3 linked regions of the Oreochromis niloticus genome follow. The protein of the gene in region 1 purifies or fractionates together with the protein of each later gene. This does not show direct contact. Links are inferred from orthologs where the notes say so. Each region holds a gene or a part of one and is shown in the gene's direction. Other genes may lie near its edges.

Evidence for each region.
Region 2: the proteins of cbx3a (region 1) and adnp2b purify together in Homo sapiens (affinity purification with mass spectrometry; 3 studies listed by BioGRID and IntAct, with this or other methods). This does not show direct contact. The link is inferred for Oreochromis niloticus from reciprocal best matches to the Homo sapiens genes CBX3 and ADNP2.
Region 3: the proteins of cbx3a (region 1) and histone-lysine N-methyltransferase SUV39H1 purify together in Homo sapiens (affinity purification with mass spectrometry; 3 studies listed by BioGRID and IntAct, with this or other methods). This does not show direct contact. The link is inferred for Oreochromis niloticus from reciprocal best matches to the Homo sapiens genes CBX3 and SUV39H1.

The regions. Positions count from the first base shown.
Region 1 is NC_031985.2:25,231,852-25,239,965, forward strand, and holds cbx3a (chromobox protein homolog 3a), read left to right. Parts: upstream 1-2,714; 5' UTR 2,715-2,871; intron 2,872-3,486; exon of another isoform or gene 3,487-3,510; intron 3,511-3,645; 5' UTR 3,646-3,653; coding exon 3,654-3,799; intron 3,800-4,019; coding exon 4,020-4,176; intron 4,177-4,545; coding exon 4,546-4,640; intron 4,641-5,436; coding exon 5,437-5,563; 3' UTR 5,564-6,568; downstream 6,569-8,114. Other genes in the region: nfe2l3 (nuclear factor erythroid 2-related factor 3), read left to right, coding at 1-88.
Region 2 is NC_031985.2:21,369,589-21,377,702, reverse strand, and holds the start of adnp2b (activity-dependent neuroprotector homeobox protein 2b), read left to right. Parts: upstream 1-3,209; 5' UTR 3,210-3,501; intron 3,502-4,319; 5' UTR 4,320-4,334; coding exon 4,335-4,442; intron 4,443-4,643; exon of another isoform or gene 4,644-5,053; intron 5,054-5,359; exon of another isoform or gene 5,360-5,400; intron 5,401-5,498; exon of another isoform or gene 5,499-5,908; intron 5,909-8,114. UniProt on the Homo sapiens protein: May be involved in transcriptional regulation. May play a role in neuronal function; perhaps involved in protection of brain tissues from oxidative stress. May be involved in erythroid differentiation.
Region 3 is NC_031984.2:36,833,975-36,842,088, reverse strand, and holds the start of histone-lysine N-methyltransferase SUV39H1, read left to right. Parts: upstream 1-3,134; 5' UTR 3,135-3,220; coding exon 3,221-3,239; intron 3,240-3,936; coding exon 3,937-4,082; intron 4,083-6,165; coding exon 6,166-6,825; intron 6,826-8,114. Other genes in the region: si:dkey-16n15.6 (organic solute transporter subunit alpha), read left to right, coding at 1-338. UniProt on the Homo sapiens protein: Histone methyltransferase that specifically trimethylates 'Lys-9' of histone H3 using monomethylated H3 'Lys-9' as substrate. Also weakly methylates histone H1 (in vitro).

The DNA.
Region 1 (8,114 bases):
GAGGGTTGTAGTTCAGCCTGTAAGACGACCTGCTGTCTCCACATCTGGCAACAAAACAGACAAGAGAAAGAAGGAAAAAAAGCAATAATGCAGCATTTCCTGCTGAGACTTGACCTTTTCGGTTTTGGGATATTGCGGAACCTAATTGCCTGACTCTGGTTTTAGGGTCTCCTCTTTTGCAAAAGTGTGTGTTGATTCACCACTGTTGAGAACCTAAATTCAAAAAGAAAAGACACTCAAAAAATAAGTAAATGAAAAAAAAAAATGTAAATACATTATTTGATGGGAAAAATGTAGATCACACACTGGACATTCTCTTCTTGTTATAGGTGGATGTGGCCGATGGGGTAGTTTAAGGGAACAGCTAAGCTGTTGGTAATGCCAGCAGTCTCTTTGTGCCTGTTAACATTAAAGTCATAGTCTTTCTCATTTTTACAGAAAATTGTTGGCAATCACACATGTCTAAAAGTCAACTTGGCCAGGATTGTGATATTTACAGACAGGATAGAGATCTAAGAGGAGGATTTACCTGTAATCTTGCCTTTAGTGTTTTCCTACTTGGTATAAGAATGAGGTTAAAGGATTGTATTTATTAAACTTTCTTAGGTCCCTGAAATGCTTATAGAACTGTTAAGGATGTTTTTTTTTCCCTCTCCCAAAATGGTAACCTTTGGTCAGAGTGATAAGAATATTGGGTTATTACAAGTCCAAAGTTTACTGATTTGTTCCCAGTATTTGAGGGCATGCACTGTTTGAGTAAAAAAATTAAACTGAAATTAAAAAAAATGAAATAGATATCTTTTGCTTACATGTCTTGATGACGTGCAGTATACCAATGACTCAAAGGACTTGGCCTTAATTTGCATTTGATGTGTTTTGGTAAATATGTGTGTACATCATACATAAGTGCATATATCCATAACAAAAAAGTTCTTACATAAGAATTCAACTATAATTTAACCCCTTTCATTTGAAGTGTTTTAGAGTTTTTGGCAAGATTATTCTACCTCACAGCTTAGTCTTTGTTAATTTTGGCTACATTAAAAAAAAAAAAGCTCCCACCCCGCTTTTTTTCTTTATTTTTTTTGTCGTTTGAAGTGCACTCGATAACTACGATTCCATTATAAATGTGACCATAATCACACATAAAAGATTCAATTTCTGAAACAGGAAAAATACAATCACCAACTTTATTTAAGAGGTCTGAATGCTGTTTGAATGTGTGTGTTTGTGTTTTTTTTAATATTTATTATCTGAGAGTAGAATCAAGTGGAATTAAAAGTCCGCATCTTATTTATGTGTACACACTTTCAAGTAGTCACCTGAGTGAGTAAACTGAAGAAAGATGCATAAAGTATTTGAACAATGATTAATCTGAAGAACAAGTTGACTGAACTTCCTTTCTTTACAAGTACTTGTGAGATATTTTTAGATTCTCAGGCCCCAGTTTAGTTTTTTTTTTCTGGCTAAAATCTGAAATTCCCTAAAGTGCACTTGTTTAATAAAAATCCTTCATTATCAAAGTCACCCAAATTAAACAAACTGCTAAAAAACCCTAAATAATAAATTACTGATTCATATTTAAGAAGTTTGAATGTTGTTTGGATGCCTCCTTTTTATATGTATAAGATTATTTGACAGTTGAAGTATTAATAGGGATTGCCATCCTGTTCCTGGTTATGCTGCGCAGTAGAGTCAGCTGAGTGAGTGAAATTGAGAAAAGTCCATGAAGTAGTTTATGTGGCTTTCAGTTTTTTTTTCCTTTGTTTGTATTTTTTTGTTTGGTTTGAACCTTTTCTTTGCTGTTTGTATGAATTTCATTTTCGTAAATATTTGCTTTGTTTCTGAAGTTAAATGTGTTTGATTCCATTGTGATTTTTCAAAGTGTGCATTTGCTTACAGAACTTGAGTTGCTCCTGCAGACTTTTTAAAATAAAAAATAAATCTTTTGAAATACTTTTGAATGGCCTTGATTTTAAAATCAACATATAGGAACATATTATGGAAAGAAAATGCAGTCTTAAAACATCAATAGAATTTAGATCAGGGATGTCAAACATAAGGCCAAGGGGCAAAATTGGCCTGGCAAAGGATGCAATCTGAGCCACTGGACAGCTTTTTAAAATGTAAAGGATGGTACACATTTTGGACTTTTTAACTGTATTTCCATGTGTTTTACAGCTTTTCCTAATGATAAAAATCCTACTCCCATCAACATTCACACCAATTTGAGTAAGTCATAGGTAATATTAGATTTCAAAAATACTTAAATGACAGAAACGTTTCTGATTTCTGCAGTGGGTTCACAGTAAATAAATAAATAAGGATACAGTATTATCAATACACAAAACCTTTCTATTTTATAGTTACAGGACAGTCTGGGCAACGAGCAACCTTAACTACACATGCATTTCCTACAATCTAAGCCCAAAGAGTCGTGCTGACTGAGTTCTCCTATTTAATACAGCTTCATTTCTTTATCATGCAAAAATAACTGAGATATACTGTTGAAATTGCACTTCTTTTTCTTATATTAAGATTTTGCGGATATTAAACGTGTAATTAAACCTCTTTACACTGGTCCGGCCCACTTGTAAACAAAACTGGCTGCATGTGGCCCACGATCCAAAATGACTTCGATATCCCTGATGTAAAGTTCTAGGCTTCATTATCTACAGGTTTTGGGGAGCGAAAAGCGTTTTCCAACCGGGCTTCCGTAGATGGTGCACAAGTATGCGCACAAGTATGCGCGTAAGTATGCGCGTCAGTAGCTTTTGGCGCCCGTGCTGTTCAGCCACACTCTTGTAGACATAAAGAATCAACTGACCGCGTGGAAAAGAAGTGCCGTTGAAGCGATTCTCTTGTTTTAGGGTATGTATGCAGATACCGACTTGTTTCAAAAAGGGTTATCATTAACAGAGGTGTCAGAGTTAATTGGTTCACTGTAGCGAAATAGCAGTATATGCTAACCAGTTGTTTTACCATTTGGACGCTGTTTCGAATGAGAGAGAAACGATCTGTTGACTACAGTTGCAGTACTTTAACGTCAACAGGCAAGCGAAAGTAACAGTGTCTGTTCCTCGTTATGCTGTAGTTGTATCCTAGAACTTAACATTATTTATCCGTTTGTAAAACGTCGAGTGTCGCGTTGAAGTTGAGTACGTTGTTGTTAGCGCAAGTTACGTTAACATTACCCGCACGCTTTTTTTGTGCCAGCTCACCTATTTTAAGTCCCTCCGCATTGCAGGTGACACGATAAAAGTGAAGTAGGGTTTCCCTAACGGTTAAAGGCCAGCTAAAGTTAGCATGCGAGCTAACGTTATAAGAATTTGGGTATCTTTGAATACTTTAAGAGTTTATCGCTAAGCTAGCTAATGCTGTGTTTTACTTCCCGTTGGTGGTCGTCCCTTTGTCAAGGTTGCCTAATTTTATTACCCTAATGGGCAAATAACAGTCCTCACACTTAAATTCGTTTACGATCCAGGTGTCTGTGGCGGTGTGGTTTGCCAGGTAGGATGGATTTGCCAGAACAGCGGCTTTAGGGCCTATGGCCAATCCTAAATGTGGATATCAGGAGCACATGAATGTGAAGGATTTGTTAATATCAAACTCTTATCGAATTCCGTTTTTTGTTTGTGTTTTTAGATCACAAAATGGGAAAGAAGCAGAATACCAAGAGTAAGAAGGATACACAGGAAACACAGGAGGAACCTGAAGAATTCGTTGTGGAAAAAGTGCTGGACCAGCGTGTTGTGAATGGGAAAGTAGAATTCTACCTCAAGTGGAAAGGATTTACAGAGTGAGTTGGCTGGGACTCCTGCCCCCCTCCTGCTGAGCTGGAAGTGCTTCCCTGGTATGGGGTTGTGCTATACTTTTGTTTGAAGTCATTGTGGTTGCATGACGACGGTACCTTTATTCAAGCAAGCTAGCTGATGCTAGTATTTGCATTTTTTTTTTTAAAATGGAAATCAGTGTGAATTGGTGCAATGCAAATGTTGACTCTCTTTCTGCTCATTTAGTGCTGATAATACTTGGGAACCAGAGGAGAACCTGGATTGCCCTGAGCTGATTTCAGCATTTTTGGAGGCTCAGAAGAACGTTAAGGAGAAACCTGCGCCTGTTAAGAGGAAGGCCTCCACGGAAGAGCCAGAGACAGAACCTAAGAAGAAAGATGTGGTGAATTTCTTTGCTTTCACACGTTTCTGCAATTAGCATGTCCTAAAGACAATTTCAATTTAGGACAGCAAAGCTTAACACGGGGGCCATTCAGAGAAAAGTTTGCATAACTTAAACAAAAAAGAGCATTATTATAAATGAATGTATTATATACATAATACATACATAGGTATATACATACATAATACATATAATCATATTTGTGCTCAGCTGGATTTGTACATAGACATTTAACTGTGCATTATACTCTTGAAATGCAGCTGCTTCTGAACTTATGCTAGAATATGCAAGGATTTTAAATGAATCAAAATGTGTTGTTTTGTCTTTCCTATCTTATATGGCTACATTCTCTGTTGTAACCACCTACAGGCTGAGAAACCACGTGGCTTTGCTAGGAACCTCGAACCTGAGCGAATCATTGGCGCAACAGACAGTAGTGGGGAGTTGATGTTCTTGATGAAATGGTACATTTTTAAAAATATTTTCTAGATGTTGTAAAGCCCTTTCTTTGGATGGTTGGAAATCTGTGTCCTTGGAAGCAAAATATAATGAAATGAGTGTTAGTTCAAGACCTTAGCGCAGTAATGTTTTGTTAATCTAGTTACTGTGAAGGCAGTGTAATTCATAGGACGGATGTGCATGGTATACAGTGAGTCACTGGTGTTTTATGCTACGAAGATAGACGGCCAGCGAATTCAAAAGTATTGAGTGCTATGATTAATGGATCCTTCACAGTACAAATAATTATCCTGAAATACTGTAATACCAATCAAAGAAAGTTTAAAGTGAAGGAAGTGTAACTGAGTGGAATTACTTGGATAACCATGCATTTTATTTGTGGAAGGGGAGAAAAAAAGTCTTTCTCCCTGTTGGATACACACCAGTCAGCAACTGATGTCCAAGGCTTCAGTTGTTTCCTGCAAGAGGGTTGTGTTTTGTTTTTTTTTGTTTTTTTTTTTTAAATTTATTTATATTTAAGTTGTTGTTTGCATTTGAGGTCTTAAAAATCGGGAACTTCCTTTGTTTCACTAAATTTTTTTTCTTAAACCCTTGAACTTGAATCTCAGTGTCTACACTTCAGTTGCTTTTCACTGCTTAGATTTTGCTACATGGTGTACAGAGCCACAGTTATGAAACTGCCACTGTCTAGTCTGTTCCTGCTGTAAACTTTTCTCAACTTATAAACTTAGTTGATTTCAAGTACATTAACTTATGCTGGCTTTCTATAATGTTCCTCTCTCTCAATCTGCCTTCTTTTAGGAAAGACTCGGATGAGGCAGATTTGGTCCCAGCCCGTGAGGCCAACACCCGCTGTCCTCAGGTGGTCATATCCTTTTATGAGGAGAGACTGACCTGGCATTCCTGTCCAGAGGATGAAGCCCAGTAGTTCTTCTCTGCAACCCATGCAGTTGCCTACATCAACATCGTCAACCTTTTCCTCAGGACTGGATTTCTCCTGACTTGCCTTCTAGGTCTAGCTAAATTAGTCTTTTTGTTGTTGTTTTTTGTTTTGGAAGAAGTTTCAACATTTGCATGGCAGTCGTGGAGAGTTCTGTTGTAAATATAAGCTTAGCCGATTGTGAGAACAGGTGAGGGTGTTTTTGATTACGAAGGAAAGAAGGAAGCCTTCCTGTATTGTTGTGAATGATTGATCTCTTTAGCCCCTTTTCAGACACGAGATGTACAACAATGTTGGGTTCAGCAGTCTGCTCAGCAATCTGTTATTCCGACATGGATAACGCTTATGTTCCTAATGGCTTCATTTAAATGTATTCAAGATAGTGAAGGAGAGCTCTGTAGTATGCACAATTCAACCATACATTCAGAAGACTTGTTTGTGGGTGAGGTGTAACTACAGTTTTGATTTGTTTTCTCACCCCTTTTCATTAACAGCACAGGATCTCACTGTGTGTCGCTCAGAGCTGTGCACTTCCTTCTGGAGTGTGAATTGTAAAAATGCTTCATAGAGAAATGAAACTGTATTTAAAGTGAATAGCTAAAGTTAAGACTAAATGTCATGCATAATATTGCAGTTTAGGGCATTAACTAGTGAGCTTTGCAACTCAGAGATTCACAAGATACAAGTACAGTTGTAATCCAGTGCATGTCGTTACTAATACTTGGTTTAGTTTAGGTGCTCATTTAGACATGAAGTCAACACACTGAGATGCAGCCAGATTCATGGAAGCGAGTGCACAGCTGAAAAAGGACGGTTGATTAAAGCCACTTCCACCTTCATCTTTGTTTAAATGTTTTAAATACCAAAATGCTTCTCTCACTCTGCCACCTTCTTGCTCATGTTTTCTACTGTAGTGATGTTTTGTTCCATAAATACTTTTTGTATACTGTCTTTAAATATTGTTTGTCGTTCTAATAAAGGTTTTATGCCAGATTTTTTTTTTTTTCTTTTAGTTTTTATGGGTTCGACTACAAATACAGACTTTACTGGCAGTAATGCGCAGAGAGTTGCATATGAAACAAAGTTAACAATTAGGATTTCCTTATGTTCCTAATGTTTCTTGGGTGAAGTTTTTTACAGTTTTGTCTTCATGCTGCAGTGCTTTGGTTGTCCCATGGTTTCACTCTAAATGCAAGACTGCATGACGGCATGGGAGATAGACAGTGAACCTTTGTGCATTACTGATTTCTGTGGGAAATCACTCAAGTTTCTTTGAAATGAAGTGATTTGGACAAGGTCATGATAGATATCCAGCCTTTAGTCCTACCAGGAAAACACAACTGTGGCATGAAAGTTCACCTACAAATGTGATATCAAACAGCCATTTTCTCTAAAAAGGTGCGTTTATGTTCTGTAAAAGCTAAAGAGTAGTGGGAAGCTTGCAGAAAGGATGCAGGGATGGAAAATGACCTGTTATTCTCATTTCCTCATAAGTGTTTAGCTTTTAAAAAAAAAAAAAAAATTGACATCTTGATTAAATCAAATATCTAATCACAGCAACACAGTCATGTCTTATCTGTTAAGTGCTTGAATCATTTCACTATAGACATACAGCTATAATAATGGAAAGAAAATGTCAGTGCAGCAATTTAAAAAACACAAACACATATAAATGGTAAATGGCCTGTATTTATATAGCGCCTTTATGGTCCCTAAGGACCCCGAAGCGCTTTACATATCCAGTCATTCACCCATTCACACACTGGTGATGGCAAGCTACGTTGTAGCCACGGCCACCCTGGGGCGCACTGACAGAGGCGAGGCTGCCGGACACTGGCGCCACCGGGCCCTCTGACCACCACCAGTAGGCAACGGGTGAAGTGTCTTGCCCAAGGACACAACGACCGAGACTGTCCAAGCTGGGGCTCGAACCGGTAACCGGTAACCTTCCGATTACAAGGCGAACTCCAAACTCTTGAGCCACGATCGCCCCCAATAAATCTTGGTCTGTGTATATTTCACGTTTCTGGGGTCAGCTTTTGTCAACTCTGAATTTCGCTTAATTGGCCATAAAATTATGTAGAAATCGGATAGAAAATGGTGCTGTTTTGTAACAGTCTCTAAAAGCAAATGAAAGTCTCTGTTGACACAAGATAAAGAGATCTCTATATGCAAATTACCATCCAACCTAAGGTCATGTCTCACTAGCTTCTTGATCCACTCTTGGACTGGTCAGAGGGATAGACGCCAACTGGCTTTGGTAAGATCTCTTGGTCTTCAATTTTAAAACTGTCATTGTATACAACTATGCATGCTGTGGGCTGGAGTTCACGTAGACTAAGTGTCAGTGTCATTTCTGACGTTTTGATGCCTTGATTTGAGATTTAGATTTTATTTTTTAAACTTGATTTATTAGTTGAAACGAAGCACAACACACCCTATGATGTGATTTCTCAGATAAGGTTTTGGGATGTTGTTTTTATACCGTATCATGCTGCGGTTGCCTGTCTGTCTCTATGTCTCAGCTTCGCCCTTCAAA
Region 2 (8,114 bases), about 3.9 Mb from region 1:
TAATGGACCATAGCCTGTTTTTTGACTGTACATTGTGCTCGTTAAAGTAATAAGTGATTAATTTAATATACATTTCTGACTGAAATCCTTTCATCTGGTGTTTGTGTGGTTTTTGGCATTGGTGGGTGGAGGGGCTGGAAATAATTGTGTTCAGAATAACATTGTTCCTGTAGGCCAGCATAATTTCGAGCTTTAGCAATTTGCTGCATCCCACAGCTAGGATTATTTTGAAGACAATGACTTTACTTGGATATATAGACTCTTTAAATCTGAAGAAAACTTAATACTACTATAACAGCCTAGTTATAGACTAACATGGTCTTTAACTGATTCACAGATCTAGTGACATCACCTCATTTTAACTCTGTAAAAACTAAAAACACCTAACATGAATCTTGTGGTGAATAAAGTTAACTAAAAACTAATGCTAGTTAACAAAAGTAGACTTGAACTAAAAACTGAAATAGGTTGATGTTTTAAACAGCCAAGAATGTGCTGCACCAACCAGCATTATTGTTCTTACATTTATTTATTTTTTTTAGTTATTGGTGTTTAAAGAGTAAAGTTTTGTTTTTGTTTTTTTTAAGCTAAAAAAAATATGTGGACTATTTGTCCAATGCAAGATGTGGGAAGTTGCGAATATTCATACGTCTCAATCCAAGCCTTCTCTTGCTTGTGTTGATCAAATACTTTATTACTTTTTTGGTTAGTTTTTGCCCTGGTGTTATTTCAGTTTGTTAATTAAGATTTAGGTTAAAATAGTTTAACTATTAGTTTTGCAGTATTTACCAAGTTAAAATGGGATGATGTCATTGGACCTCTGCATCAGTTAAAAGGCACTCAAAAAGGGAAAAAGCTAACATTTTGGCTGTTAATACTCATGGACCATGCTTAGTTAGACTTTGTCCTACTAGTATTAACAGTTTTATTCATATTTTTAGTGGTCTGCATATCCTAATAGTATGCTGGTAGAGTAATTTAGGTCTACCGAAGTTAGCTATGGATCCTAGCTTTCCCATTGCAGAAGTGCTATAGAAGTGCTATCTTTTCAGCACTAAACTGACAGTGCAAATATATTTGAGGGGAATGGTAATAACCATTTGCTGGCTGTCCACTAGAAGCACTCCAGCAGTTTATCACACTGCATTGCATCTTTAGACAGAAAGGAGCTTTTAATCAGCTGCTGCTGTGGGTCCTGTTATAATGAAAACTGACCCGCTTGCGGGATTTCATCCTAAACACTTCAATTACAGTTGAATACAGTTGAGTTCAACCTGTACAGTGTTGTGTTTCCACCATACATTGCAATATTTGCGTATGTGTTCAAGCAGTGTGGTTCATTTTCAGCACTTAGATCAAATTAAGAGCTGATCCTTCAGATCAGGATGCCAGTGCGGCCACAGCTGCGCTGAGAGTACACTGGATAAAATGGATAAAGCCCTGCCCTCACTGTGTGTAAATTACCTTGCATGCCCTGTCAGTGAATGAGACACCCAGCTCAGACCTGTGAGTGTTCTCTGAAGCTTCCAGTAAGATCCATGAATGACAATATACAAAACAAGGTGTAATTTTGATAATTACAGATAATAAGAAAGATGTTTTAAGTGCAGACCATAAGCAGCACTGGGGCGCGAAGGAAAGATTGATGTGTTTGTATGCAAAGTTATTTCCTCAGAATAAATACACTTCAGGGTGAATTAAAGCTGCTGAATTATTTCCTTGGCGTTGCACGTCAGAATCGAGTTAATCTGAGGGATGTATTTGTCTAACGGGGATCATTACAGCTCCTATCAAGTGTCTCATGTGCCTCAAGTGTTCATTAGAGAAGTGTTGCTTGCATTTTAATTGGATTAAAAGATGAATAGATCAGCAGAAGGATCACGCAGAGTGCTTTCCATTGTGTTTGGAGTGTGTATTGATGAATTGGACATTGTGCTTGATGATAGTGGTTCTGATTGTAATAAAAAGTAAATAATTGCACCTGAATAGTCTGGAGGGGGAACATAAACACAGCAGTGTAGAGAAAAATAGCTTAAATTCAAGGTTACCACACACTCGATCGATCTGAAATTACATGCTTGAGCGATCCACATCATCCACTCTTTGACTGCACAAATCGAGTCTGATTGGACCATTGCTAATTGGTCTAAAGTGAACACCCTTGTGTTGGTATGAGCAAAGGAAATCGCAAAGAAAAAAAATAAATAAATCTTTGTCTTCGCTAACTTTTTGTTGGAGACAATGCTAATCTAACTTAGCTGTTAGCCTTAGAGATACATACTGCAGTACAGCCATCATATGTGTAAATATGGCACTTCGTGTGTCCATTCTGTTTGCAGTGTCTGACTTGGGTGTGAGCATAAATCAGGCAGTGCAAGTGTTGGTTATCAGGTCATTACAAAGAAGAGACTGTTGAAGGGATTATTGATTTGCTTATCCAAAAACTGGATAAAATATATATATTTTATCCAGTTTTTGCCAAGTTAACCTTGATTGTTAAGGTTAGCGCGCAGGCGACAGTCAGATAGGTGGTTAACGCAGCGCTCAAGCTGTGCTTGAATTACCTGTAGGCGGGAAAAGGTGAAGGTAACATTGTTAACCTGGAAATTGCTCTGATCGACTTTTACAGTTAGCTACAACTACGTATAAAATATATGTAACAAGGTTTCGCAGTTGGTAAAAATGACCACATGATGGTAACTAGCCATTTTGTCATGTTGTAACTGTAAAACACAATAAAAAATCCTAACACTTAATCTTTTGCTAGCCTAAAGACATCTAACCTACTCATTTCGCTTTCTCCCTCAATCAAAATGGTGGCTCAAAGTAATTGGGTACAGAAAGTAGCATGATATGACATCACACGCCAAGGACCACCCATTTAGCTCATTTTCTCGACACCTCATTGGTTGGGCTTGGTCGTGTATCACGTGACTTGCCGCTGTGGGGGGTGGGGGTCGCAGGAGCCACGCCCCCCTACCTAGCTATTAGATGGGAATGGGAAATATGGGCTCACCCGGTCAGATGTGGCATGAAATTCAGAAAGTGAACCACAGAGTGCGTCATCTGGGCAACCGGGAGCCGGGCTGAGGGTCCCAGTGAGAGAATAAAAAGTTATTCAGGTTTTAGCAGGCGAGCTCTCCCATTGGTCAGTTTGTGCTGTATGCAAATGAGGCAGCTACGTCAGATCCTGAACTTGAGCGCCATTTTTTTCCTCAATAGGGGGGAAGAAAGGGACAAAAGCTGAACCAAAAAAGAAAAAAAATAACTTGTCTCCGGAGTGGGTTCGCAAACATCACGTTTCATATTTAAGCAGGGTGTTCGCAGAGCGGTGTGCACGGACAGCGAATGCCGCTCGGGGGAGCGTCTGCGCGCAGCACCGCCTGTAGACGCAGCTCACTGACACACACAGTTGCGGGCCGGTGGAAGTAGGAAACCCTTAGCTCTGTCGGTGGTGGCACAGCGACAACTAACGTTAATCTACGCTGAAAATTGGACGAGGTAAATATGTGCGAGGAGGCTGTGGGCATCCTCGAGTAGGCGGATGCGCCCTCGCGGTCTTAGTCACCGGCTTGTTGCTGTCAACGTGCCTCCCCGGGCTTTTTTAGGACTTGAGTGCGGCCAGCAGACACATTGTAGTGTTAGCATGGATGGCATGTGCGAGGGGGACAGGCTTTTTAGTTTACAGGTGATCTAAATCTCGCACTTTTAACTGACTAAAAATAACTTGTTTTTTAGTGCTCACCGGCGAACGGCTGGTGTTTTTGCACAAATGCTGAGAGTGATATCAGCTGATGCACACTCACTGTTATGGCTTTTATTTGTGTTACCACAGAGCCTGTGCAGACATTATACCCATATTCAGCCATGCTGTGATTCTCATCAATCAGTACTAAATGCAGGCAGGTTGTCACTATGCTGCAGTGAATTATTTAACTACATCATTATTACCCGGTACATTATTCCATCTTCATTTACGGTTTATGTGTTTTATTTATTGGCATAATAGGGTTATAAATTATTGATGTAATACTGCATACATTACCTGACCTCAGCTAACCTTTGTTATTCTGCCCAGTGTGTGCCATTTTCACCTTTTCACCATACTATTCACTTGTTTTGGGGGCTACAGAAAATATTTTTACTAATTTATTGATGCTACAAGTGGAAAAACAATGGTAATTTTGTAGGCTGGGAAATATCATGATGTATGTTTGCACTATAAATGCAATAAAAGCATATTTTGATAATTATTTTATAATTAATAGAAGAGCACGAATGCTTTGTAACCAGTTGAAAACTTATTTTTCCTTTATAAGGGCTTGTGAGGAATCATGTATCAGGTCCCGGTTGGAAGTATCGAAAAGATTCGCAAAGCGAGGAAGGCAGTGAAGAGCATCTTGAGTGAGATCGGCCTGGAAGACTGTCAGAACCTGCTGAAGGTATGTTTCTGTCGTGGAGAATAATCTGACAGCTCTCTCGGCCTGAGTGTTGTTTACTCTGTTCTGCTCTAGTAACAGCAAGTCAAGTAGAAAGAAAGCAGAACGTGCTGATTTTCAGACACGCGTTAGCCCATGTTTGTTTAAAAATAACATAAAAATGAAACTGAGATTTTTGGATTGTCTTAAAAAAGGCTCATTTTGAATTTAATGTGAGTAACACATCCAGGAAGCAGGGGACAGGTTATGTAATGCTGGTGCAACATAACACACCTAATTAGTTTAATTGGTGACCGTTCAGCAACATGGCTGGGTATAAGAAGAAGTCTCTTCAAAAAGAATAGTGGTCCTCAGTGTAAAAACCGCAGCATTTGGGTGTTTCATCATCTACATTGTTGTAAAAATGTGGTGTCTTAAGGGTTTTGCGCTGGTTGTGGCTGCGATAGTTGCCCTAAGGAGGCCCGGGATCAGAGAGGACAGAGTGCTCAGTGAATTTTCTTCACTCATTGATTTATTAGAAATGCCAGAACCACAGGGGGGCGGCTCACAGCTGTTAGTGCCCTGCCAAGGCTTTGGGCCGAGGCTGGCAAACGTGTGGCTCCCGCTCCCTGCAGCTAAGACAAAAGAAAGAGAGAGGAGAAAAAAATGACTTTATTATGGAGTAGTTATTTTTCATTTTTAGTCCTTGTATTTGTGAGTAATGTTTTACATTTTCCAGTTGTAAAAATGTTCTGCCTTTAAAAAACAAAAAATTGAATCAGTTAAATCAAAACCTACAACCACCTTAAATTTTGCTGGACCTAAAAAGCAGCAGCTGGCATGGATGTAGACAAATAAATGGGTTCAGAGTCCCTCCCACTGTTTGTTATGGACTCCAACCCAAAAGAGGAAAAGTTTAAGAGGAAATTGGAGACTCTTACACTGTATGAGCAGATTCGGTATGCTTGATCTGGATGAGAAACTAGCAAAACGAGAAAAACAAAATGAACAAGCACGTAGCGATGCTGATATTTGTAGGGAGGGTCAAAAATGTTTCTTTTGATGGTAAGTGTTGCCGACCTCTGCTGTGTGAAGCTCGTCACCTCCGAATGTTGAGAGCTGAATCCTGCGTTTTTCTGTTGTCGATATTTTAATGAAAGTTAAGGTGGAGTGTTGGTGGGACAGGCTCTGTTGTTGCTCATTACATCTCTCACACACACACACACACACGATACAAACAGATAATAAACAGTAGTTGGTGCACAGAGATTGGTCCACACGATAGAGCACACTTTGTGTGCACACAGCTCTCAAATTCCACTTTCACATATTTTGTTTATTTTCGTTCTCTGTCAGTGATGGATAATACTTACATAATATACTGACATCTCTGAAACAATACAGCTGTTAAAGTCTAGATCTACCATGTGTCTGAATTAGGGCTGCCACAAACGACTATTTTGATAGTCGACTAGTCACCGATTATTTTTGCGATTAGTTGACTAATCAGATCATGCATCCATTGAACGTAAAACATACAGCTTATTGCACCAGCATGCATCTGCTCTTATATAACTATCATTATCTTCCAGCTTTAAGTGTTTAAGGTATGTGCTAACTAAAAATAAAGACAAGATGATAGTTTATTGAATTTAAATGAAATTTGCAGATTGTTTCGGAGGAGTTTAATAAACGCAGCCGTCTGCTCCTTGCTATCTAAAATATAACAGGACACCGGAGTATATTCTCGAGCATCTCACACTTCTGATAATCAGTCGTGGTTTATTCAGCTGTGTAAAAACTATAACTTTCATCTCAGCCAAACCGATTTACTCAGGAACAAATAAAATACTGAAAAAAGCCAAACAATAACATTTTTAAGTTATCTAAGTGACTTATATATCATGTTTAATCTGAGTAGCGAAAGATGGCGGTGGGTTTGAAAACGATTTGCCGGGAGTCCGATGTTCTCACCGGCTCTAGTGAGGCTTCCAACACCAGCTAGCTATCGAGCTAGTGGGTAACAGACATCTCCGAAAACGTCGGAGCGCTTTTGAAAATATGTGATGTCTTGATAAACTGAGCAGATATTTTAAGTTTACACAGCTACATTCCCGCCTGAAAATATATTAAACGTTTATTTTGTGACCCAGAAAGAATAATAAGAGTAACATTAAAACTAACTAGCTGCCGCCATTGTTGGAAACTGAGCAGGGCCGCGATGGGTCGCGCTATGAATTCTGGGACAGTTTCTTCTTCTTCGGGGTTTAACGGCAGCTGGCATCCTTGTGCATGCAGTGCTGCCATCTTCTGTTTCAGTCCGTTATTACACTCTTAAATCCTACTACTTATTCCTGCGTGTTTTGCGATCTTACAAAGCTTCAAACGACGTGTCGACTATTAAATTAGTCGTCGACTATCGTGACTCGTCGACTAATCGTGGCAGCCCTAGTCTGAATCTCAGTCTTATGTTGTCCTGATGTCTCTGAACGTGACTCAGGATTTTTCAGACCAAAAGAAGTCTAGGCATCTGCTGATTGTGTGTCATAGCACCTCCTTCACTTGTTATAAATTCTTGCAGCATTCACATTTCACATCACACAATGCACATCAGCAGAGTTTGTGAGAGTTTCTTTAAACTGAGAGTGATGTGCACATTTTTATGTGTGATACAGCTTCGGTAAACAATGATTTGTGGGTTTAAGCAGACATCAGATTTGCAGAAAGTTTGGCGAGCATGCATAGTTCGTGCATTGCAATGTAAATTCAGTGAGGTTGCAGAAAACAGCCAGGCGTGCAGACATCCACACAGACCCTCACACTAAATTTACGTGAGTGGGACCCGAGCGGACTTACAGTTGCAGAAAATATAGTCCCAGCTTTAGCTAGTACGCCCAGCTTGTTGTCTCGAATGTGCCCACATTGGTATTGCGGTTCTACTTTGGAAAATCTGAATGTACAATATGCAAGTCTATATACTTCACAAAGATGTGCAGAAAACCAACATGTTTGCAAGTGATCAAGAATTTGATCAGTTGTTATTTTGTTTCCAGTTTTGTGGAAATTTGTTTGAATTAATAATATGTTAAAATGTAGATTTATCAGTTACAGAACACCACTTCAGTGGGGACACATACGTTACAGCTATAGTTTCATATCCTCTTCAAATAAGGAAATACTATCAACACGCAACTAGGCTGACCTTGTTGCTCATCAGAGAGCCAAAACAAACGGCAGACAGTACAGAAGGTTTGGGTTACAGCATTTTTCAGAGAAGTTCTTGCTTATTTCACTAAGATGATGCCAACCTACATTAGGTATATATTCCAAAAGCATGACTCTGCAGTATGGGTTCAGGAGCTAAAATGGCCTGCCTGCGCTCTAGAAATGTCACCCACTGCAGAGATCTTGTGCTTGTGGTTGAAAAAGAGGTGCTAATATTGCATCAAGCAAGAATGAGGAAAATATGAAGCTGTTTGCTGCAGCTGGTGGCAGATGCCTGGCTGGAGGTATCAGGTTTTCAGGCTTCCGTCTGCCCATCGGTTCTATTCTTGTGAACACGATAGCGCAGGGATGTCTTGAGGGAACTGCTTTTAAAATGACTTGAAAGGATTCGCTTGAACTCGAGAACAAACTTTGTAAAAAAAGATCTTTGAGGATGCAAATGAGCATGATTGGTCTGCTTGTAGATGAGGG
Region 3 (8,114 bases), on another chromosome or scaffold:
TGCTTGATGTATGGAGAATGGAAAAGGCTGTCCAAACGGAAGAAATTCAGGCGATGCATCACAAAGCCAGCGTGCTATCAGAGGAGGCTCGGCCTGGTGGATGTCTCATCAACGCCTCCTATAGTCCCAGTTACAACAGTGACAGCGAAGACAGCCTGTGCAGGATAGAGCATGCACCTCTGGATGGTTTCCACTTTCCTCAGGCGAACGGTCAGCACTCAAAGAGTTCAGAGACAGTGGAGCCCAGGTGTGTGGATGAGCCCGGCGTAGCTCTGACACACATTACTGTCAGGGCTGATGTAAATGACCAGGATTCGAAAGATGTCACTGTGGTTTGACCAGTGGGATAGAAAACTTCATAAGATTAAGCTTGACTGCTGAAGATGCTAAAACTAGCCAGGAAAGGGCACTTTGAGCAAAATATACTGCTAAACACTTCAATTATACATCAGATCCTGATGAGCAAAATATCCAATTTAAACTTTGCTGAAGAATGTAACAAGTGACATAACATCAGTCAGTGGAAACCGAAATCATTAAGCCCTTGAGGGCTGGATTCAAGATCAGGTGAAAAATAAAAAAAATATTCCCTTAATTTGATGATATTTTGCAACATATTATTGGATATTCACAGCAAATATTCCGACTATTCTTTAAACATTGCGCCTCACCCCAAACTGCTCTCAAATGGTTATGAAGTGCTAGTTTTACCTTACGCACACTTTGCACTGCCCTTCCTTTTGTTCTACACATAACATTTTGATCATTTTAGTCATTTTTGGCTTTGCATGCTTATTCTGTTTCTGCAGTACTGTCTAAGCATGATACCAAGTAGTTTGCAGCTTTTTCCAATTTCTTGAATAATGGTTACTGGCAAACAGTTCGTAGGTACATTACCACCACACTGCATTACTAATGCATAACATCCTACCAGCCTAAACAGCCACATCAACTATTTACTTGAAGTTCATGACTACTGGAAAGTGATGACCATCCCTAGTACTGGCTTGGGTGTTTGTGGGATTGACCAATAAGACAAAAACTTACACATATAATTATCTCATTTAGGATAATTAGGAGACTGTGCAGAGATACTCATCTCATTTTAAATGTGGTCCAGAAACTTCTTATTCATGTGTTTTAGGTTTGGACTAACCAGGCTGGCTTTTAAAGGTCGCCAAAGATTATGTGCTTCTAAAAATCTTTAATATATATATTTTGTTCTCTCTATTGTTCTTATTATTACTACATATTATTACACTGTTGTACTTATTAATCCCATGCGTACTAATTGTTGTGACCTGAGGAAAATGAATGAAATAAATATAATGTTACAACATAATTGAAGCATTTTAAAGCACTTCAAACCCGTGCTCTTTAGAACTGTGTTTATATGTAGAGATTTGTTGCTTTTGTTTTTTATCTTTAATAAACTGAGTCTCTGAGTCTATAATTAAATGTGACATGTAGGATGATATACGTATAAATGTATGATATAGATAACCACAATAAAGCCCTGTCTAAATTCAATTCAAACTATCAACAAATTTAATATTTTTCTGTGGAAATAATTTGGTACATCAGGAGCTAGTAATGTACCAGTAAGTAGATGCACATTCTTGGAGGTGTGTATAGCTGTTCACCAGCTCGGGTACTTCTGTTTTCCTAACTTCAACTTGACCTCTAGAACCATCTTTAGCAGGAATAATTGGAAGTAATGGTTTTCTGTGCAACGTCATCAGTCTCTCACGTAATTGTGGAGGATCCTTGATTCACTCTTATTTATAGTGTTCCTTCAGTTAATTGAGGTTTGCAGCACTCTTTTATGCATAGCTCTCTGAACACCCCAGTGCACTCCAGTCAGGCTAAGGCCTGGACTTTGACTGGGCCAGCGCAAGACCAATTCTTTGCTGCTGTGCTCAGGATGATTGGGCTTCATCCACCCACAAATCTGTGTGTAAACAAGTGTGCACAAATACACCTCAGTTGTGTGATTCACCAGTTTTCTTAGCTGTCCTTGTTGACACTATATGAACAAATTTTCAGTTGTTGTGGACCATAATTATGAACACTGTTTGTGGGCTAGCTAAAGGTCCTGCTGCTGTATTTCACAGGAAGAGAAAAGAAAGAGAGCTAACTTGACTCAGAGATGGAGAAAGATGAGAAAGACAGGACAGGAGAGGAAGAGAAGAAGTAAGATTTGAAGGCAAGGACTGTTTAGTGGTGTTTGATATACTGTAAATGTAAGTCCTTGTGTTTTTAAATCAGATTGGGTCTCTACGTTGGGTCTTATTATGGATTTTCATAATGTAAAATGTGCTGCAAAACAAACTAGGGTAGATTAACTGTGTTATGTAAAGGCTGATTAAAAATACTGAGTTAGGTTACATAAAAGCTAGCAGAGGTGAATTTGAAGTTAAACTGAGGATACGCATTCACTGAATTCCACCAACTGTATATTGTCTAGTATGAAAAGAGCATAAACAGAATACTGTCAGTGTTGAATAAGGAAGTCAGCCAGGGCAACTCATGAAACATCTGCTGACATCTGGTTGAATTCAGCTGTTTACATCCACAAAGAGCAGCAGGACAATTGATCACAGCCTTTACACTAAGAACATCTACTGGACATCTCCATAGAAATTTTTGTTAGTTAGGATTCTTTTCTTTCTCAATTTATTTTCATTCTTTTTCTCTGCTCATATTCTACTTAACTGATTCAAGCTGAGTGCATTTATTAGAAATAAAATTTAGACTGAAATAAAGTTATATTCCCATCTACTGATATGATTACATTATTACATTAATATAGCACAGGGTTCAGCTTTGCATAAAAATTGGTGGTAGAAACGTTTTCCAAGGATCTACTTTTACTTTCTTACTTAAAGTACATTTCAGAGCATGTACTTTTTCGCTTTTACTTGAATAAATAAGTTGAATCGGTACTTCAACTTTCACTGGAGTATTTTTCAACACTTAAGTACAGAATGTCTGGACCGGAGAGGAGAAAAAGGACATCAGCTGGCAGACTCACTCAAATGGGAATCCATTGTACTGGCTGTATCTGTTGTCTTCCGGCCTGCCCGCCGGACTACTTCTCTAAGCCAATCAGAACGCTCACAGAAGGGCGCTCATCCAATTAGCTTCCGCTACGATCTCTGTGTCGTAAGGCCTTTCGGACCAATGTAGCTCATCCTATTTTGGCGGCTGTGTGGAAAACATGGCGGAAAATTTGAAAGGTAATACATAAGGACTGTTATTTCATTTAATTTTACACTATCTAGTTAATATGTGCGGTTACCTGGTTGTGTCTATATCATTTAAATAGCTCGAATATGCACATTTCTCTTCCTTCGCATTCACGCAGTTTTAACTTAAGCGCGGCGCTTTTACATCGCTGTTATTCTGTGAAGCCTATAGTTCGAAGTACGTCTGCAGTTTAATAAAAGCGGTCTTTTTGTCCAAATAGTTGACTTGAGAACTCAGTAACTTGGATTAAGCTCTTGGTGGAGCTTTCTGTGTATTCCAGGTAGCAGACCTTAGCCGCTGTGTTGAAGTGAGCGGAGGAGTTAGCGGGCTCGGTGCTCGGTAGCGCTGAGCTTGAGGCGCCATGTAGCGCTTCGGGAATGTTTAAATGGCACATTGTGCGTCTTTGGACGAACGTGGATGCAACTCTTTAAAAGGGTTCTAGTTTCGGACCCCTGTACCGGCATGACGTTTGATCTAAAACCAACGCTCACACAGCTATGCCTTGGCTGTCCATTTGCACGAATGCACAAAGCCCAGCAGTAAACTGTGTGTGCTGTCGTCAGATTAAAAATGAATTTTTCCTTACTTTCCACTGTCAGAAAAAGAGTCAAAAGTAACGAAAATGAGTCCAGAAAGAGCAGCGTGATCCGGCTGGGCACTGTCAGTTAAAGGTGTGTGGTGTGTTAGATTGCAGCGTGCCCTGCAAGATGTCCTGGGATGAGCTGGAAGCCATGTGTCGAATGGAGAAACTCCAGTGTCAAGAGCTTGGAGTTAGCAGAGCCAACGTCAATGAATACGAGGTTGAATTCCTATGTGACTACAAGAAGACTAAGGTATGATATCGACTAAGGTATGACGTGGATTGTTGGCAACTGAGACTCTTGTTAGTGTGAAGTTAGGGAAGGTTCATTGGTTTCTTTTCAAAGAAAATAAATTCCTAGTAAATATTTTGGCTGTATTTTTAATTAAATCAGCTGGACAGGGCATGCATTCACTGTTAGACATCACACAGACATGTTTGAAATGAGTTTTATTACAAGTGCTAAAAATACAAAATATTTTTCATTCGTCTACTTTATAGTGAAACATTCTGCTAGTGTGTATTCATTGTACTGTGGGATGGATAATAGTCCTTTTTCCTCTTTGCTCCACTTTGAAGGCAAACGGTCTAACCTGACATTAGAGGAAAGAAGATGTTATAATGCAGCAAGTGCTGCATAACAAACATTGTTCCTAACAGTACAAGCTAGATACTGTGAGACAGTGTAACTTTGGACTGCAACAAACCATGTACTATGGTGGAAATTCCTTAAATAATTTATCTATAATTTATAAGTAATCATGTTATTATTTAGTTTGTATTTAATGTGCTCATATACACTATCTTGCATATGTACAATATTACTTATGTTTCTCACTTCCTATCCATATTTGTTAAGTATGCACGCATATGCGTCTGTACGAGCTGGATCTTACATTCCTGACTCAGAACAGATTACGGTGTTTCTAGAAGAAAACCTTTCAGTATATGTGGTGGAAGTTTTGCACAGGCACAATTGGATTTGAGGTGGCACTCATTTAGTCTTCTCCAAATAGTTAGAATCAATGTAATCTCAGCTAAAACATTCAACTCGATATGCTCATGGTTTCATTGTGCCTTACCTGACTTTTTAATGTTGTTTTGTCTTGGATTTTTTTTCTGTAAAGCATTTTATGATTCCTGATTGTGAAAAGCACTATATAAATAGAGTACTGTGCAAAAACTCTGGAGCCACCCCTCATTTTCGTATATTTTGGGAGGAAAATGGGAAATGTGTGTAGTTATTTATTAAAATGTGTTCTAACATATGAGATTGAATGATGAGACTGAAATTCAACATTTGGTATGACCACCTTTATTATTTAACACAGCCTGAACTCTCTGAGGCAGCTGTCTGTAATGTCTTTAAGTATTTTCAGGAATAGTGCTCCAGTCTTTTTGAAGTACATTCAAGGCTCTTCTTTCGATGTTCCTGCCTTTTGTTCTGTTATTTGTCAGAATGATCTCACAGTGCTCCAATAATTCTAAGGTCAACCCATGACCTATAGTTCAATTTTCTAACCAGGTATGCTGTTACTGTGTTGGCAGTGTGTTTGGGATCATCCTCAGGTGGTATTGCATAGTGAGTTAAAATCTAAAGTACTCTCACTGTTGGAGCTCTCCTCACCTCTGAACCAAAAATGTCACATTTCCTGTCATCACACTGTCAGTCTGTAATTTGGTATACCTCGGCCTCTTCTCCCTTATTCTTTTTATTTATTTATTTTTAAAGCACATGCCTTTCACATAATGAAAAACTATCTACTATAGATAGTTTTTTTTTTTTTTTTAGGGCTGATACTTCCTGTTTAATCTCCTTGTGTCCAGTTTCCTCAAACAAGGATGCTGCACATCATGCTGAGAGTTGCCAGGTTTTCAGCTAATAGCTCTTTGACCTTGTTGCTAATAGCTATTAAATTGTCTAATGCCTGTCAAACTGTGTTACCTTTGGGATTTTTCCATAGAATCAACTCAAGAAATGGAAAATGCCTTTCTGTAACAGGGTGCCTCTGAAGGGAATATTTGGGTATAAGGACTGAAAATGAATGAAAAGTCAGCCGTGTCCACAGAAAGACAAACACCTTCAGAAAACTGGAGAGCTACTGCTCAAGAGCACTTTAAAAAAAATTACAAAAAACTCTGGCTGGTTGGGAGAAAAATGAAAAAGAAATATGAGGGGTGCTTCCAGACTTTTGGACATGATGTAAATATTGTGCGTTTGCTGTGTGGAGATTGAGAACATCTGTTGCCCTTGGTAGGCATGGTAACAGAATAAATGAAGTTTAGGCTGAACCACTATTTGCCCCCCAAAACTGACATTATTGTGTGTGTTTCAGGAAGAGGAGTTGTACCTTGTAAAATGGAAAGGCTTTCCAGAATCAGATAACACTTGGGAACCCAAGAGGAACCTAAAATGTCCCAAACTGATGAAGCAGTTCCATCTCGACTTGGATCAGGAGCTGAGGCGCCACAAGCGACGTTGCATCCCAAAAAAGCTAGATAAAGAAGTTTCCTCATTTCTGCTCCAAAAAGCCAAACTCCGCCAGAGTCTGCAGCGCTGGGAAGACCATCTGAATCATACTCGCAATCATCCAGGGCGCATTTTTGTCATGAACGAAGTGGACCTAGAGGGTCCTCCGAAAAACTTTACCTATATCAACAACTATAAAGTAGGTCAGGGCATTGTGTTAGATGAGATGGCAGTGGGTTGTGAGTGCAAAAACTGTTTAGAGGAGCCAGTGAATGGCTGTTGCCCTGGGGCTTCCCTCCAACGCATGGCCTACAACGACAGAGGACAGGTCCGGATTCGGCCTGGACAGCCAATATATGAGTGCAACTCCCGCTGCAGCTGTGGGCCTGACTGTCCCAACAGAGTTGTGCAGAATGGAATCCAGTTCGATCTGTGTATCTTTAAAACGGAGAATGGCCGGGGATGGGGAGTCCGCACACTGCAGCACATCAAGAGGAACACATTTGTCATGGAGTACATTGGGGAGGTGAGACCTGTTCAGTCATTTTTTTTTTTAAAGTGCCATATCATGCTTCACTGTGAAGTGTAGAGCATGACAAAAGCAGCCAGCAGCTGCTTGATGATTTGACAGATGTGATACATTAATTGAATCGGTTTAAAGTTTAATGATACACGTGACAGCACTTTTGTCTGGTAACTTACAGCTAGAAAGCAAATGAAAAGAAAGGTGTGGTGCACTAATATAGAATTTGAACACTACTAGTATCTTTTCATACTAAGAAAATGCCCAAAGGGTTATGCTTACAAATGTGAAATTGTGTATGTGCACACACACATACATACACAGAGTTCATGTCCTTGTGGGGACATCTAAGGCTACGTTCACACTGCAGGTCTTAATGCTCAATTCCGATTTTTTTGATCAAATCCGATTTTTTTTGTCTGCTTGTTCACACTATAAATAAAATGTGACAGCAAACGCGCTCTAGTGTGAACCCTCAAAGCGGCCCGCATGCGCAAAAGAAGACGTCACACACAACGCGCTCTGTTTAGACCCAGAGCAAACAATATTGTTTGACTGATGGCCCTTAATATAAAGACTTCGGACTTTACGTTTCCCAATTTTTGCTTTAAGTTATTTTGTTATTTACATAATAATGTAGATAACCTAATAATTATCCTTATTGCTGTTTTAGAGAGGAGCGGTGCTTCAACGGATAGTTGCAGATTTCGGTCACAATCTGCAGATTATACAGTACAAATCAATCAATCAATCAATCAATCTTTATTTATAAAGCACTTTTCATACAAAAAATGTAGCACAAAGTGCTTTACATGGTTAAAAGCAGCCCACCCCACCCCACCCTCCCACTCACTCCCCACACTCTCATTAACATAAACGATCATGAATACACACATTCCCCCCCCCCCCAAACACACACACACGCACACTTAAAGAGTAAAATTGGGCTGGGTACGCATTAGCCAAGTGAGGAAACACTATCACAGGGAGCTGTCTGCACCGGGAGCCGGTCACAGACCGCAGCCTCCAGGCTGGGCACACAGCAGGAGGGAGGCAAAGAAGCCCCCCAGCCAGGCTGAGAGGACCCACAGAGCCCCAGCAGCCATGGTTGATCACAGCCCCGGTGCAGAGAGCCCCCTCCGAGGAAACACTGGAGATATGACCTAATAAGAATATATACAGGATAAAGAGATAAAATAAATAAGAATGGGATACAATATAAATATAAATAGAGTAAGAAGATAAAAAATGAATAAGAATAAAATCAATAAATATTAGGTAAAACCTAAATT